Linked DNA regions of Arabidopsis thaliana. The protein of the gene in region 2 interacts with the protein of the main gene of each other region in a biochemical or structural test. Each region holds a gene or a part of one and is shown on either strand. Other genes may lie near its edges.

Region 1 (7,171 bases), on a different chromosome or scaffold from region 2:
GGGAAGATCTTTTTATCTTCTTTGATTTGTCTTCTGTAATAAAAAAGGAACAATAACTGATGATCTTCAGTGTGCATTTGAGCTCCATAGTCTCATGTATTCGTCTTCTTGTATAATCCATATTATTTTTTGTTCAAAGTTGACTAAAGACAGGTAAGAAGTCGAGGTTGATCTAATCTAAAAGCTTTCAAAACAGGTAAGCTAATTTATCTGACTTTTCAGATAAAATAATCAACTTGAGAGACTCTTAACGTATGGGTCTAATAAAACTGATTACTTAATTAACATGATAACTTATTTTTTACTTCACACACCATGTGCTTCTTCTAACAGAAAACTAAGTGTACTTCATATGGCCAGCTAATAGATCTCTGTTAAGTTCGAAGAACTATGTTTGCTTCTTCATGGAGTTGAGCCAAAGCTAATTGTTTGAAACCAAGACTTCTTGCAACATAGTCACGAATCATGCATTACCTCTAATACCTTAAAAGAAGGAGATTATATGAAACTAGATAGAATATTTGTTTGAGTTTCTGCCATTATGATAAACCATGGACCGTAAACATTAGCTCATTTCTCCTATATTACTTATTTTGAATGATACATCATGAAACCAAAACACTCAGGAGGAGATTAGATATGCATCCATATTTACAGCTTCAGAAAAGAGTTCAACAGAAGATGTAAATGGATGGATATTTCATCGTTACTGAAATTTGAAAACGAAAACAAAAGCGATAAGGAAAGTTACAAGCAAAGAACAACCAGTGACTATTTTATATCAAGCCAGACCCCTTTTCTTTTGGGGACTACTTGTTTGCTGCAGCGAGTTCCGCAGTGATAATGAAACTTGATTTCCCAGCTTGTCTCAAGTACTGAACATCTCCATTCATCAGCTTCACCAGTTTCCGGCTAACCATTAAGCTCAATCCTTCTTCTGACACATCTTCCTCAGTCCCAAACATTTGGTTTAGTAAAAACTCAGGTATCCCAGCTCCGGTATGCGTTAACCTGTTTTCATAATCCCAATATCCTCAATGCACTGTTTTTAACATCATATTATGCATTCTGATTATGAATATATCTATTTTACCTGATCTCTAGATTAGCAAGATGCACAGAACGCCCGAGCTGATCCTTCCTCAGGGAAGCTGAAACAGTTAGCTGACCTCCGGATGGTGTAAAGTTTACAGCCATCAGCATGAAATCTGCCAAGACTTGTTGAAGCCTAATACTGTCTCCATACAAAGTGTCAGACATTACTTCTTCTCCGGTCTCATTTGTTATCCGAACACTCTTTCCGTTACTCTTCATCATTACTTGACTTGTGGAAGCAGTCAACACTTCATTTAAGGTGAATTCTTTCATTTCCAAATCCAAGCATCTGCACAGTCAAATTCCAACATAAGAACACAGATAAACCATATTTTAAATGGACTTTCATTCTAGCATACCCTTCAATGATGCTTTCAAGATCCGAATCATCGAGGATCTTGCTTAGTTGCTTCTGACATAACGCGCTAGTTTGCAAAATCCGTCTTTGCTCTGGTCCTAATTCAGTACCCTCTATCATTTTCCTTGTAAACATGATCCCAGATAGCGGATTCCTGATCTGTCTTTTTATGTATGCTAGAGCCTTTAGTCTCTTCACTGCGGTTCGCTCAGCTAAACGTTGAACATGGAGCGCTTGCTGCAGCTCATGGCTGGCAAGTTGCAGGAAACAGAAGACACCTGTCACTACACCTTCCCTGTCCAGTTTCTTACTCACACACAACAGACACTCCACATACTTGCCACCTCTTGTAAAGAAAGCAAACGATACTTTCTCTGGATCTTGACTGGTCACAGCATTGTTCAGCACAATCCCAAGGTTTACAAAGGCTTCTTGATTCTTTAGACGACAACATGACTTCTGCGTCCCAAATACTTCTCCTAAGAGCATTTTGTCAATCACTTCCTCTCGCTTCAAACCGGTTAACTTTGACATTGCTGGATTCCACTCTGTGCACCATCCAAACTCATCGGTACCAAATATTGGCGGGATCAGCGGGTTTGGATTTTGGATGATTGCCTTGTAATCACCTTCAATCCGCGTAAACTTGTCCATCACAGTCTTCTGGCCAGTAAGATCATGGGCTACAAAACACACCCCAACCACGTTTTCATGGAGATCTCTACTTGCGCATGCATTTACAACTAAACTTATTGGCCCAGCATCAGCCCTGGACAGATGTGTCTTGATCTCAAACTGGACATTCTGCTCCTCAGTTCCTGCATAGATAAGCAAGTGAAGTTATAGACTCGGCTTCAGTGTTTGATAAAATTGGAAAACAAAATTCCATCATTAAGAACCAAAAACAACACATTGCATCAAGTTTCTTCGACCACGATACTCAATTGGAACTTGAATAGTGAAATCTAGTTGGAAGATTCTTAGCAAACTCAGCATAACTTAGGAAGAGAGTTTACCTTCTAATGCGTTCTCTAGCATCCTTTTAACGATTTCCACTGAAGAATCTTCAACAAGTGTGAGGAAATGCTTCCCGATTGCTTCATCAACCGAAAGACCAGTCAGCTCAGCAATTTTCGTGTTCCAACCATTAACCAGTCCATCAGAATCAACCGCCAATATTGGCACCGTAGCAGTCTCAATTAAACGAACCATCTCACTGGTCACAGCTTCTAGTTCTTGTATACCATCAATTTTGAGATCATTTAGCTTCGAGTAAATGACCTTTGTATTCACATCAGTAGTTTCACTATCCTTGAAAGCATTCCTCAAAATAAGTTGCAAGGAGTGTATGGCATCCATCTCATAGTCCTTCCAAGGTAAACTCCTTGTCTTGACCACTTCAAGGAAAGCCTTGAACGATGACCTTGGGTGCATTCTCCTTGCATCATCCCTATCATCTGGATCATGCTTCGCACCTCCCCATCTCACTTCACCAGCGGTATGAGAACGGAACCAGAAAATCATGTCTTTCGATGATATCCTCACAGCTGCCATCCCACATACCGAATCCCCGAGAGATAGAGCCCTAGGAAACCCGGCGTCATGCAAACTATCAGTGCTCAAACCCGTTGAATCCATGTGGTATTCACACAACCATGAAGCTATCTCCTGCAGGTGGAACTCACTTGGAGTTGTTCCCAGTTTCCATATCTTGTCTTTATACAAGAGAGCTGCTCCATCACATTTCACAAGGTCCATTATGTTGGGGCTTTGCGACACAATACCCAGTGGAGCATCACGCATCAGCATATCGCACAAGAGTGTCTGCGTGCGCAAAATGTTCTTCTCCACCATCTGGTTATCGAGTTCCACCTCCTTATTGACGTGTATGGCAAACACTTGAGCTAGAAACTCACAGGCATACCTGAGAGGAAATGGAACAAACCTCGGAGTCGTATTGTGACAAACCACTAAACCCCATAGTCTCTTTCTCTTTTGAGGCTGTGTAGTAGCATCAGGAGCATCCCCTTCTCCATCTTCCTCGTTAACTACAACCGCCATAACCAGAGATGCAATTGAATCCATGTTGGCCATGTACTGCAAATGGCAGCTGTGCGGTGCTCTAAGGGTGGAGCCACACAAGGTAAGGTCAAAGGAAAGCTTTTCATCTTGAAGCACCCTAGCATGTTTTGCATTGCAATCAACTATCATCCGGACCTTGTTCTTCATAAACAGAAAACGGGCTGCTTGAGGGATGTCGGTGGCAGGATAATGCAGCCCAAGATAAGGCTCCAGCCCAGGTTTTGTAACCTCGGAGACAACCTCACCGTGATCATCTTCATGAAACTTATAAGCCATCACCCTGTCATACCCCGTGAGTTCAAAAACCTCTTGAACCATTGTATCACAAAGCCTTTCCATACTCCCGCTGGGTAAAGATTGCAGCCTAGTGATTGCTTTGGCAGCGAGCTTGTATGATTGTAAGGCACCAGCAGCTGTCATGGGGACTTCATAAGGCTTCACGGGTTCAAAGTCGATGATGATGCTCCCTGTAACCCTGTGGATAATCGCATAAAAGGGCTTTGCAGAAGTCCTGCAGTGCACAAGAATGGGATTCAAAAGAGAGACATCTCCAAATCCAAGGGCTTTCTGCAATGCAGACGCACTAGGAGCAGTGAAAAGACTCCTTATATCTGTCCCAATGCCTAGAACAGGGTGTTCGCCAACACTAGGAACTGCATGACTGGCCATTGTCAACAGCTCAGATGCATTCTCGCTGTATGCAATAACTTTGAAGGTCTTCTCATCCAAGGCAAGTAAACAACCGAAGGGCTGAATCAGCTTTCCCTTCTGTATATGATGAAGATAAGTCGTGGTAACTTTGTCAGACCTTGGTGGCTGATTCTCCACAACCGGGCCAGTGACACGCACTGAGGTTGAGTAATCAAAGGAGCTGCCTGACTCCTCAAAATCAGCATGGAGTTTCGCATCTACAGTGGTCTGCGCAATGATCCTAGCGCTGTGCCTTGATCGCCTTGAGCCCTCAGAGGACTGAGTCGGCCTAGAGCCTGACATTTTTTTCCTGACACAGAGACAAGACAACAAAAAATAAGTGCAAAACTCTGATAAAAGAGGGAATAAAACATTCATGCCATAATCATATGAACACAAAAACATTCATCACCAGTCATACAAGCGAATGCATAAGCATAAACTTGAAACACTAAGAACCAATTCAGAATTTCAAACACACAGTAAAAAGAGTTATGAACTTGACTAACTCCATCGAGAATACATAGCTAAACCCAGAAACAGGACGCAACAGATGCAGGAATCATCGTGTCATATTCCAAGGTTCAATGATTTATCATTTTCAAAGTAACTGAACCAGTCAGATTCCATGAACACTTCCTTTCTAAGTCATCCTACAATCCAAAATCAACAACATCTTGACTATGAACAAGTCGCACAAATAATAGTTGATAGTTAACAGGGTAAATCCACTACACAAATACTAACAAAACGAGGATCTGAGCTAATATCAGCCTCTCAAGATTCAAACACAGCTACATACATAAAGTAGACTCAATAATAAACTCTTAAGAGTCTTTATAGCTAGCTATACCTTTCAAAAGGAACAATAAAGTCCCCACAGGGAAAGCAATCGTAGGAGTTAAAAGCGATAAAAGGATGAGATTAATTAATTGGATGCTTCTTCTCATAAATGATCACACACTATAAAAAGTTGAGTAAAACAAACACACATCAAGCCAGATCGAAAGAGACCTACAAAACCTTTATATCGCAGAAAACAAGAGGGTATTGATGACAACAGAGGATAGCTTTAAGAAATTAACTTCAAAGTTAGAATCAATTTCAGTAAGAAGAGTGAGACCAGTAGCTAGCTGGTAAGCTCCCAGCAGAAATCAATCGAAGCAAGCTTCAATATATATAGTTAAAAAAAGAAAAAAAAGGAGGAAACTTTGGGAAAAGGAAAGTAGGTACCTTTAAAGAGAAGAAAGAAGAAGAAGAAGTTTCAAGAAGCCATGATCAGATCTTGTGACTAGTCACACTCGTCAGAGGCTTTTTGTTATAGTTAAATTCTAAATCTTGGCCTCGATCACCACCTTCTCTCTTGTGCTACGCCTCTCTATTATTTGTGCTCCCTAACACAGACGACGACGATGAATGGGACCACCCCGAATACGTATGCCCATGTCTCGGAGTATGGGCGATTTGTATATTTTATAATGGAATAAAATAAAAGAAGAAAAAAGCTTAATTTGGATAAAAGACAAACTTCACACACATATCAAGAACAGGGTCGGCTTCGCCGGTAACATTTTCCTCGCTAAAACAGAACAGTGGGCTTAAGATATATCAAGTACTACTACTTGTAAATCTTGGCAACTTTCTGGGGAATATTAATTGATATTTTCACCGATGTGACTAAGACTGTGTAATGAGGAAAAAAGAAGTAAAGTGGAAGAAGAACAAAATGGGGTTGATTCTTATAAATCCGATTGAAGAGAATCGTCCAAAGGATAAGAGATCAAAAGTAAAAAAAAAAAAAAAGATTATTAATAAAATAAAAAAACGAGAAAGAGAGAGAGAAAGAAAGATGGTGGTAGTTGTTTAATGAAGGCAGTAACCAGAAGTAGAAAGTTGGGTTTTGAGGAAGACGACAACGATAGTCTTATGGGCTTCACGTTTTCTCGGCTTTTTGCGTTTTGTAATCTGTTTCTGGGATTTACTTCAAAGTTGGGACTTTCCTTTTTTGTATTTTTTTTTATCGTTGAAAGAAAGTAATAAAATTTGTAAAACTAATTTAAGTTTATTCGAAGAATTTAAATTTGTTTTATTTTTTATATAAAAAGGGTAAAAAAATCGTTATTAAGGTTTTATTTTTTTTTCGTCAAACAAAATCCATATCGTTTTAACATCATTGTCAAACTTCGATTCGTTCTTATCGCAAATCCACGTTACCATGTTTTCTTAGGTATTTTGCTTCTATCCTCTTAAAGTTAAATCTCCCCCTAAGTTTTTTGCAGTAAATCTCCGGAGAAGATCGAATCGACAACGTCTTATCTAGACAGCGCAATTCAGCATAGATATTGTGGCACAGCTATGTTGGACCAAAAATGTGCCTCCATAATGCAAATGTTGTCCTAGCAACACAGTATCATCCATTAGACATAGTCATGGCCCATGTTGCACATATCTGAATTGGCAAAAGGTACTAATCCCATTTCAGGAATAACACTTTGAAGAACAAAACAAATATGAGCTTAGGAGACTTCTTAATGGCCGGCCAAGAACGCTTCAATCACTAGGGATGTGATGGTTTGGAACTTTAAGGCGCCCTTTGAGAGCTATTTCATTTTCACTCTTTTGATATTGAACTCTCAAAACAACTGTTCATTACCATGTGTTTTCTCGGTTTTTAATGTGTGTATTTGTGTGAAACAAGGCCAATAATCTATATACGAAAATAAAGAAAATGGTTCTTTACACCAAAACTTCCGTATTAAAAAGAACATTTAAAATCTGTTATCGTCACTGTAATAAACAATGTCAATGGTTACTTATGTATAAGAAGTAGAAGAAGATGACGGAAAACAATCTTTGTCACTCTTTTGCAAGGACTGATCATCTTCTTCTTCAGTTTGATGAACCACCGGAGGACATGAAGAAAGTTTTTCATAATAATCAGTCCCT
Region 2 (4,775 bases):
CGATCGACTATTTCAAACTTTGGAATAAATTTATATATGAAAACAGTATGCAAAAATATCTAAGATATTTAACTCAATTATTGCTAAATAGATTCTGACCAGTATGCACATGGCTTAAAGACTTATAATGTCGATGTTTTTGACAATTGACACATGACTCTCACTCAAATCTGGCTCCATCACATGTGATTTGGCTTTTTCCATCTATACATAATTTTAGACAATCAGCAAGAAAAGCTTATGTTATGATTTTTTATTTATTTATGGAACAATATGAAATCATAAGATATTAATATTTTACCAAACTCTAGCCAGACGGTTGATCATCTGTGTTTTTCTTAAAGTTTTTTTTTGTGTTTCTTATTTTTTGAATATGAACATATGATTTCTTATTAGGGGAACAGAGAAAAATTGAATGGACTTTTAGATACATCTTCAAAATTAGGTGTGATCTATAATCTATAAGTGTCATCTAGTTCTATTTTCGAAAAAAATTTCGATTACTTAGATATATCCTTGTTTTGATTAGAAAATAAACTGCATCCCAAAGTTTTTACGATTACAAAAATCACATGTCCTGTTTTTAAGATGTTGTTTACAAAAAATCTCATCATGTCATTTTGACATACATAAACTCACATATACAGAAAATAACGTAATGAAGTTGCACGTTTACTCTATAATAATACATCCTTGAACGTTTTAAGTATGTTCAGAAAGATAGATATAAAAAAGAAACATACCAAAAATAAGGAAGTAAAAAAGTGGCTCACCAACCTAGTGGTCCAAACGAGAACCGTCGGTGGTCTTCGTCGGCACAGACGACGGTTGTTGACTTTGCTGTCCCGCCGGTGAACTAAATCTCAACATCTCCATCGGCTGCATCTAATAAAAAACCACACAACGTGTCAACTAAAACTACGTCGGTTTAACATTTTTTCTTATCTCGTATTAATGTAGTAAACCCAAAAAACATTTTACCAAAATCGTCGTTTAATAAACACGGCTTCGTATTGGCCTTACCTGAGTCGCGGCCTGCATGTGTGGGAACCCACCGATGTATCTAGCAAACCGGTCGGAGATGATCTGGTTTTGTACCGGGTTTTGGCAAACTAAACCGGGATTGTTCTGAATTGCAGACTGATCCATAACCGGAAATCGAGGTAACTGTACCGGGCTCTGTATCTGACGTATGAACTGCTGAGGTTGAACTCCGGGGAACATCATCGGAGCCGAAGCCGCCGCCGCCGCCATTCCACTCCCCATCCACATCACTTGAAGCTGTAACTGAAGTGATTTCAAATAATCTATGGCTTCGTCTAAAATCGAAGCTTTATCAGTCTGCAAAAACACACCAATGAATGAATCAATCTTCATTTCTTAATCTGATTCACTTTTAGATTTGATTTGTATCAACTCACTTTACTGCAGTGAGGTATTAGTTCTTGCAAAGCCTTCATTCTCTCATTGATCCTATCTCTCCTCCTCTATTTAAGTTATGAAAAGAAGAAAATAAAAAACAGAGTTTTGTATCTGTTTTCTTTGTATAAATGTTATACGATTCTCTAACATTAAACTATATATTATATATTATATAGACGAACCGATGAAGTACCCTTTCGGAGAGATTATGAACTTCAGCTGCTCGACTCCTTCGGTTTGATCCTGATCGTTGGTTCGACTTGTTACCGATTGCCTGCAAAATGTATTATGTATTACTCTCTGAGATAGACCAAGATTACGTTTTCAAGAAGTAATTATCATGAGTTAGAATTAAAGGAAGCATACATCTGATAGAGATACAGATTCGTCAGTGTGATTTATACGTTTTCTCTTACGGTCGGTTGTGATGCATCTTCCACTAGCCATTTCTTTGATATCTTTGCCAAAGCTGCAACCAGAGGAGCCACCTGATGAGGAACTTGCGTTCGGATTAAGCTTTTCTTCTATGTTTTTGCTTCGATCATGACTCATTGAGACATCGAGATCGTTCTGTGATGGGTTGCTTCCGCAATGGCTAGGTCCAACGGTCGTTACCGAGTACTGTTCCATTTCTGTTTCCCTAATCCCCGATGATGAATTTGTTAACCTAAATTTTGGAGGAGGCATGACTTGAGGAGGAGGGTCAGGACAGGCCTTAGGCTTAACCATGACTTGAGGAGGTTCAGGACTGGACTTAGGCTTAACCGTCTCTGAGGTTGGTCTCTGGAGGGGATCCATGGTTGAGAAGAAGTGGGAGGAGAAGTCGTCGGGTTCGAATGGGTCTTCATCTGGAGGGTATTGGATCCAAGAGACAGTTTCTTGATCTTCAAGAAAGGTGCTGGATCTTAGGGCTTCTTCATGATGATCTTGTTTCTGGGTTTGGGTTTGTTCTCTATGAGTTTGGCTCTGCAGAACCACTTGTCCATCTCGCCATAATAACTCCACTAGTTCATCTTGTGGCCTAGACATCAATACACACACACACAGACTATATTATAAAGTTTTTTTTTTAATGAATGAAAACATTAGATCAAAGATTATTAAATAATACCTGATAGATCTTCTATTAGTGGACAAACTATAATTCTCCTCAAAACTCCAACCTTGGTGTTCCATGTCAGATCTCTGGAGACATTTCAAAATAAAAAGAAAAAAAAGTTTTATTAACCTCAGAATATATTTTATAGCACTAGTGAACAGAGCTAATGATAACTTATGATTAAGAGATACAAGGAGGAGCATATATAAAATCGAATTTTATAATTCAGAGTCCTAATAGTTTATTTACTCTAATCATTATAGAATGATTTTAAAATAATTAAAATTTAAAGCAAGTCCATGAGTCCGTTCTCTTGTTAAACATCTTTTTTTATATTCTGGCAATCTAGGAAAGCTTGCAAAATAGTTATTTCCAAATATAGCCACATCTTATAAAACCAAAAACCCGTATAAAAAGAGTACTACTGACCAGATTAGGAAAGCTTCTGGACGAATCAGAAGTTGAAAGAGAAGATCTATATAACCTGATATGTGGAACTAGTCCAAGTTCCACGCCCAACACAACTCTCTATCTCTCTCCTCTCACTCTAAGAGACCAGAAAATTGTTGAGAAACAACTCACAAAACATGAAAGAAACAGAGAAGAAGAAGATGAGAGAGGTTCATTACTTCTTTTGGGTACAGACAGAAAGTGACAGGAGCATAAAGATATTACAGCGAGGGAGATAATGATTCTCTAGGGACAACAGTACTGCAATCTTTTGAAATGAACGACACGTGGCAAGTTCTGGGACATTGTGTTGGAATCAGTGGGACACATACAAGTGAAGATCTCTCTCTTCTTTTAAGCGATGAGATCTATTGCTTGATTTTTAGAGGTGGTTTCTTATCTGTACCTTATCTAAAAAAACTCTGAAAACAATGATTTGAGGGTGTTTTTGTCAAATCACAATCATCTATAGCGTTATGGTTTTTGTCGATACCTTTCTCATATATACCAAAATTATCTTTAACTTGACGTTTTATTCTTCAAGTCTTTTGCTATACGTCAAATTTAATTACGTGTTTGTTTGTTATCTACGATGTATATAAAAGATGATTTATTATCCGAGTTCAATGCTCTCAACGAGTTTATAATTGTTCATATCATCGTTTTTGGCGTTTATCACGTTGCATTGAAAGGGCACCCTTGGCTTAATAAGAAATACAAAAGAATTTCACACAACATACTACTACAGTTAGTTTCTGATAACCTTAATCTTTTTACTACTCACCTAATAATGTTTTTTTTGGTTGTAAATTGGAAAAAGATCTAGTATGTTCTTCGATGATTCATTTCGTTTTAAATAGGCAATTAATTCTGTTGTCGTAATAACAATTATTAGTGGACCATTGTGCCTACTTGTAATGGACCATATCCCATACCGCGTCTCGGTTTGTATTTCTAAAATCATCACATTAAAATAATATACTTCATGCTAAGTTTTCCTGAAATGTATATCATTAATTTCTATAAATTCCACATGAAGATTATTATTTTTTTAATTATTCTCTAGCAATGTGGTTTTAAAATATAATTTTGACCATACGGATTTCAAATTTTCATAGATTGAAATTGTGATAGCCAAATACAGGACGCGGAATGAACGGATCAACAGAACAATGACAACCAAACTGCAACTGCATTTTATTAAAAATTTAGGTGACAAAAACATAAAACATTAATTTTCATACTATAGTCTTCAATTATGTGTACCAGGTAATTGGAGTGGTACGCCCGCTCGAATGCTTCGGCCCCAAATGTGTTTGGGAAACATTCACACGAATGGTTTATTTTTGTGTGTCGAATAAATATTTAAGTGAAGTAGTATAGTAATAGTACAATATTACTTTTTAATTAATAAGACAGTCTAACTAATTTAGCCTTTTTATATTGTTGTCAGTCAATCATACCTATACTCTGTCGTGTACTGAAAATTCGTGATGGTGTTACGGTGTATGTAATTACTGATTAGTAAGATATTACTTTGCTGAAAAACATAAATTGTTTCAGCGCAGACAGTAACAATAAAATACTATTGGGCCTTACTGTCTAAAAATAATAATAAAATACTTATGGGCTTCTGAGTAAAGCCCAAACACTACACTTTGTTGTACGAAACGAGACCCAATATATTTTCTTAAGACGAAAAGAAACTTGTCGGCAGATTGGCGGCGGAGAGGAAGGAGAATTGAAGACTTGTTGCGGCGGTTAAAATAACTGTTGCTCCGCCGCTTCCACCGACCTCATGATA
Region 3 (5,362 bases), on a different chromosome or scaffold from region 2:
TCTTTGACTTTCTCTCTGACTCCATCATCTCAATTTCTCTCTTCTTCTTTGCTCTAATCACAGACTTCTCTTCTTTCCTCTTCTGTCTCAATTTGATTTCTTAAAAAAACAAAAAAAAAGATGGGTTTAATCAAGAACACAGTTCATTACTGTTGTGTCTCAAGAGACAATCAGATTCTTTACTCTTACAACGGTGGAGACCAAACCAACGAGAGTCTTGCTGCTCTGTGTTTAGAAAAGTCTCCTCCTTTTCATACTTGGTACTTTGAAACTATTGGTAAAAGAAGATTTGGGTTTTTAATTGGAGATGGGTTTGTTTATTTCGCCATTGTTGATGAGGTTTTGAAGAGATCTAGTGTTCTTAAGTTTCTTGAACATTTGAGAGATGAATTTAAGAAAGCTGCTAGGGAGAATTCTAGAGGAAGTTTTACTGCTATGATTGGTTCTATTAATGTTGAAGATCAGCTTGTTCCTGTTGTTACTAGACTTATAGCTTCTCTTGAACGTGTTGCTGAGAGTAGTAGTAACAATGAATTGAAGAGTAGTAATCTTGGTGAACAAAGCGAAGGTTCGAATTCTACTAAAGCTCCGTTGTTGGGGAGGTTAAGTAAGCAAGAGAAGAAGAAAGGGAAAGATCATGTGATTGAGCTTGAGGAACACAGGAAGTCTAATGATAGAGGGAACATAACCGATGATTCAGCGGGAGCTGGAACGTCGTTGGAGAAGGAGTGTGTGTCGAGTAGTGGACGTTCTGTTACTCAAAGCTTTGAATGGAAATGGCGGCGGTTAGTTCAGATTGTTCTTGCTATTGATGCAGCTATTTGCTTGACACTGTTTGGTATTTGGTTGGCTATATGTCGGGGTATCGAGTGTACACGTTCGTGATTGTGCAGACAGAAAATCGGATAAACAGAGTCGATTCTTTACATTCCCTTGTGCATTCCAATAGGCAAAAAATATGTTGATTGTAATGTGAAGCATTCTTAAGTTATAATTTGGCTTATGTATTGCTTTAGTCACAGCTTTGAAATATGTACAGTCGGATTCTAGATTCTGTTCAGTGTTCTTTGTGACTTCACGATACAGTAACGTCCATCTTTATATGATTTAAATTGTTTGAGCTTCAACTTCAAACTCAATCCTCTTTCAAGTTCCCTAAGTAAGGCCCTCACTAGCAAAGAAGCTGGCTTTGAGATGCATAAGGCTTTACCAACAAGTGTATTGATTGTATGATTCGTTCCAACAAGTGTATTGCCACTGCAGTTCTTGTTGTTACCGATCAACAAAATGGGAAGTAAAAAATGGTAGGTAGATAGGAACCGATCCGAAAAAAGTTCCGAAACCGAACTGAACAGTCACAAAATCCGAACGGATAATGAATTCACCTACCCAAATTACTTCAGCCGAATCCGATTCCGAATCAAAAACCGAATAAATATCCGCTAATCCGAAATAAAATTATATCTATCTAAAAATATTAGTTACAGGTTTATACCCAAAAATTTCTAAATAACAAAAATATTAGTTACAGGTTTATACGTCCGAATTTTTAAGTTATATTTGTTACAATTATACAATTTTTTTTGCAAAATTAAACCAATTTTATTAAAACGGAACAATATATATTTTTTTTTCTCAAAAACCGATCCGAATCCGACACTATCCGAACCGAAACCAAACCGAATAGTCATAAAACCCGACCGGATAATAAACTTTCCCATCTGAATCCGAAAATCCGAACCGAATCCGATCCAAAATCCGATCCAAAATGTGAATGTCCATACTTAAGCTCCGACTAAGCAAAGCAATACAACAAGAGAAATTGTACAAAGAGGAAGTAGTACCGATAAGTGCCAATGACCCAATTTTGCAACTATTGGGCCATTTTCAAACACCAATATCAGGCCCATTAACAGATTGAGAGAAACCAACCTCCCAAAAGAGAAAAATCAACAGAACCAAAACAAAGCCACAGTATCTCTCTCTCTCTCTCTCTCACTCACATCGTCTCCTCCATTTTCACCACTAAAACCAGACCAAAAACCTTCCTTTATTCGTGCCCTTCTGGGCCAACAAATGTTCACAAGCGGTAACGTCACCGCTCGGGTCTTCGAACGTCAGATTCGAACTCCTCCTCCCGGCGCTTCCGTCAGTCCCCAAATCTCTCTCTCTGTCTCAATCTCTCAATCTCAATCTCTCTTTTGCTTATCTCTTTACCTTCAATGATAGGTAAATCGTGCAAGACACTTCTACGAAAACCTAGTCCCAAGCTACACACTCTACGATGTCGAATCTCCCGATCACTGTTTCCGCAAATTCACAGAAGACGGACTCTTCCTCATTAGTTTCAGCCGTAACCATCAAGAACTCATAGTCTATCGTCCTTCTTGGCTCACTTACTCCACAACCGATGATTCCACAACCACCCTACCTCCTCTACCTCGCCGTGCTTCGAAATTCGACAGCTTTTTCACTCAACTCTACTCAGTCAATCTCGCTTCTTCTAACGAACTCATCTGCAAAGACTTCTTCCTCTATCACCAAACTCGTCGTTTCGGTCTTTTCGCTACTTCAACAGCTCAGATCCATGATTCATCATCTCCTTCTAATGACGCTGTTCCTGGTGTTCCTTCCATTGATAAGATTACTTTCGTACTTCTTCGATTAGATGATGGTGTTGTTCTTGATGAGAGGGTTTTTCTTCATGATTTCGTTAATCTGGCTCATAATATGGGTGTGTTTCTTTATGATGATCTTTTAGCGATTTTGTCGTTGCGTTATCAGAGGATTCATCTTCTTCAGATTAGAGATTCTGGTCATCTTGTTGATGCTCGTGCTATTGGTTACTTTTGTCGTGAAGATGATGAGCTTTTCCTCAATTCTAGCTCTCAGGTAAGCAAAGTTTTTACAGTATCTTTCTCTGGAGTAGATAAAGTTTTGAGCTTTGTGAGGTTTTTGATTGTTAGGCAATGATGAGTCAAGATAAGAGTAAACAGCAGAGTTTATCTGGGAGTAAGGAAGATGATACTGGAGAGAATGGGTTGCGTCATAGTCTAAGTCAGCCAAGTGGTTCGAATTCGTTTCTTAGTGGTGTTAAGCAACGGTTACTTTCTTTTATCTTCAGGGAGATTTGGAATGAAGAATCAGATAACGTAATGGTTCGTTGTTCTTCAACTTCTCTTATCACTTTATGAAATTGCTCTGAGTTTCACAATCTTGTACATTAAATGGGTTATGTTTGTGTACTGCTTGGCTTCCTCTGTTAGATGTTGAGTAGGATAACAGAAGTTTAAGGTTTAGGATTGATGCAGTTGACAGTGACTTCTTAGTTGATGCAGCTTATCATATACATGCTCTTTGCATTTTCGACCTTTCGTTGTAGTTTGCAATGTGTGTCGTATTGAAACACTACATCTTGGATACGAACTAATCGAAAGGCACTATTTGATTTGACAGAGAGTTCAAAGTCTTAAGAAGAAGTTTTATTTCCATTTCCAGGATTATGTCGACTTGATTATATGGAAGGTAATCAATTATGTGTTTCTGCTTTTGGAATCTGTGTCAAGTGTTTGGATTTGATGGTGAAAAAAACTAATCTTTTGTGTATTCTTGATGTCCAGGTTCAGTTTTTGGATCGACAACACCTGCTAATCAAATTTGGAAGTGTAGACGGTGGGGTAAGCTCTCTATAATACAAATTCATGGTTACATTGAACTGATACTGTCATTTTCAGAAATTACAATTTGATTGATTAGACTTATGATTGTTGATGGGTTACTCAGGTAACAAGAAGTGCTGATCATCATCCAGCTTTCTTCGCGGTGTATAATATGGAGACTACTGACATTGTAGCATTCTATCAGGTAAAATGGATGTCATTTTGGCCAGTTATTTTGTGGAATTTGCATCTACTTATAACTTGACTTAGTACATTACTATATGCAGAACTCAGCAGAAGATCTTTACCAATTATTTGAGCAGTTCAGTGATCACTTTACAGTATCAAGTAGTACACCGTTCATGAACTTTGTAACATCGCATTCTAACAACGTCTATGCCCTTGAACAACTAAAATACACGAAGAACAAATCAAACAGTTTTTCTCAGGTAAGTACATCTCTGTATTTCGATATGTTGGTTTTTATGAGAGAGTTGAATCTAATCAATTTTTCTATACAGTTTGTGAAGAAGATGTTACTCTCTTTGCCTTTCAGTTGTCAGTCACAAAGTCCCTCCCCATATTTCGACCAGTCTCTCTTCCGGTTCGATGAAAAGGTAACCATTCTATAAACCCTTATTCTCTTCAACTTCAGGATTGAGTTAAGTTAATTTCGGATATGGTTACAGTTAATATCCGCAGCAGATAGGCATAGGCAATCCTCAGACAACCCAATCAAGTTCATATCTCGAAGGCAACCGCAAACCCTGAAATTCAAGATAAAACCAGGTTGGTTGTTTTAGTTGTTTAGATATTAAGATGACGAAAACCCAAACCGCACGGAACATGATTTAACGTTAGGATTGTCTAATGGTGAACAGGACCAGAGTGTGGAACTGCAGATGGTCGAAGCAAGAAGATATGTTCATTCTTGTTCCATCCTCATTTACCACTTGCCATCTCTATTCAACAAACACTTTTCATGCCACCTTCTGTCGTCAATATCCATTTTAGGCGATGACTCTTTTTGGTTTCTATCAGTCTAGTAGTCTTCCTACATGTTGTAATCTATTGTTTGTAACAAAAGTTCAGTAAAACCTCTATAAATTCCGAGTTGGGCCGATGTAAAAATTAACAAACTTCGATAAAATAATAATATAATAATCTTTTGGAAAGCTTTATATAAAAATATGGTTTTAATGTCTTTTAAGTATTGAATCTTGTTAGAGTTTGTCTCTAACTTTTATTCTATCAAACAATTGTTTTGTCTCTAAGTCTGATTGAATTATGTTGGGGTTTTCAATTGTCAAATTATAGAATCGTTTATAACTTTGTAAAAAAATTAGCCATAATGTTTTGTAAGTTTCTAATTTCTTAGTATGCATCATTTTCAATTATAGTTTTTGTGATTTATTGTCAAATGAGCTTTTTAAATATTAAATTTTCAATTATATTACTATAAAATTTATAACATCTCATAGTTTCTAAAATTTGAAAAATTAAAACAAATATCTCTATAAATTAATAATTTAAATTTAAATTAATATATTAATTATAGATAAATTATTAATCACTATAATTAATAAAATATCATACTTCCATCTTTATTAATTTATAGAGGTTTTACTGTATCTCAAAACACATAATACATGCAAAAAGTGTTTGAATCTTAAAAAGGAAGAAATAACTAGGAGGTGTTATTG

What was found.
Region 1: the proteins of PIF4 (region 2) and PHYA form a complex in vitro, tested with the Arabidopsis thaliana proteins (one study listed by BioGRID).
Region 3: the proteins of PIF4 (region 2) and DET1 form a complex in vitro, tested with the Arabidopsis thaliana proteins (one study listed by BioGRID).

What each region holds. Positions count from the first base shown.
Region 1 is NC_003070.9:3,094,689-3,101,859, forward strand, and holds PHYA (phytochrome A), read right to left. Parts: upstream 5,143-7,171; 5' UTR 4,740-5,142; coding exon 4,735-4,739; intron 4,536-4,734; coding exon 2,470-4,535; intron 2,272-2,469; coding exon 1,455-2,271; intron 1,385-1,454; coding exon 1,094-1,384; intron 1,012-1,093; coding exon 810-1,011; 3' UTR 515-809; downstream 1-514. Other genes in the region: AT1G09575 (calcium uniporter-like protein (DUF607)), read right to left, coding at 7,163-7,171. UniProt on the Arabidopsis thaliana protein: Regulatory photoreceptor which exists in two forms that are reversibly interconvertible by light: the Pr form that absorbs maximally in the red region of the spectrum and the Pfr form that absorbs maximally in the far-red region.
Region 2 is NC_003071.7:17,884,826-17,889,600, reverse strand, and holds PIF4 (phytochrome interacting factor 4), read right to left. Parts: upstream 2,804-4,775; 5' UTR 2,725-2,803; coding exon 2,534-2,724; intron 2,444-2,533; coding exon 1,789-2,443; intron 1,697-1,788; coding exon 1,616-1,696; intron 1,488-1,615; coding exon 1,422-1,487; intron 1,342-1,421; coding exon 1,024-1,341; coding exon of another isoform or gene 994-1,023; exon of another isoform or gene 886-993; coding exon 778-885; 3' UTR 514-777; downstream 1-513. UniProt on the Arabidopsis thaliana protein: Transcription factor acting negatively in the phytochrome B signaling pathway. May regulate the expression of a subset of genes involved in cell expansion by binding to the G-box motif.
Region 3 is NC_003075.7:6,344,467-6,349,828, forward strand, and holds DET1 (light-mediated development protein 1 / deetiolated1 (DET1)), read left to right. Parts: upstream 1-1,944; 5' UTR 1,945-2,076; coding exon 2,077-2,148; intron 2,149-2,229; coding exon 2,230-2,892; intron 2,893-2,966; coding exon 2,967-3,158; intron 3,159-3,456; coding exon 3,457-3,525; intron 3,526-3,620; coding exon 3,621-3,677; intron 3,678-3,783; coding exon 3,784-3,864; intron 3,865-3,946; coding exon 3,947-4,108; intron 4,109-4,180; coding exon 4,181-4,276; intron 4,277-4,348; coding exon 4,349-4,448; intron 4,449-4,540; coding exon 4,541-4,680; 3' UTR 4,681-4,848; downstream 4,849-5,362. Other genes in the region: AT4G10170 (SNARE-like superfamily protein), read left to right, coding at 121-885. UniProt on the Arabidopsis thaliana protein: Component of light signal transduction machinery. Involved in repression of photomorphogenesis in darkness by participating in the CDD complex, a complex probably required to regulate the activity of ubiquitin conjugating enzymes (E2s).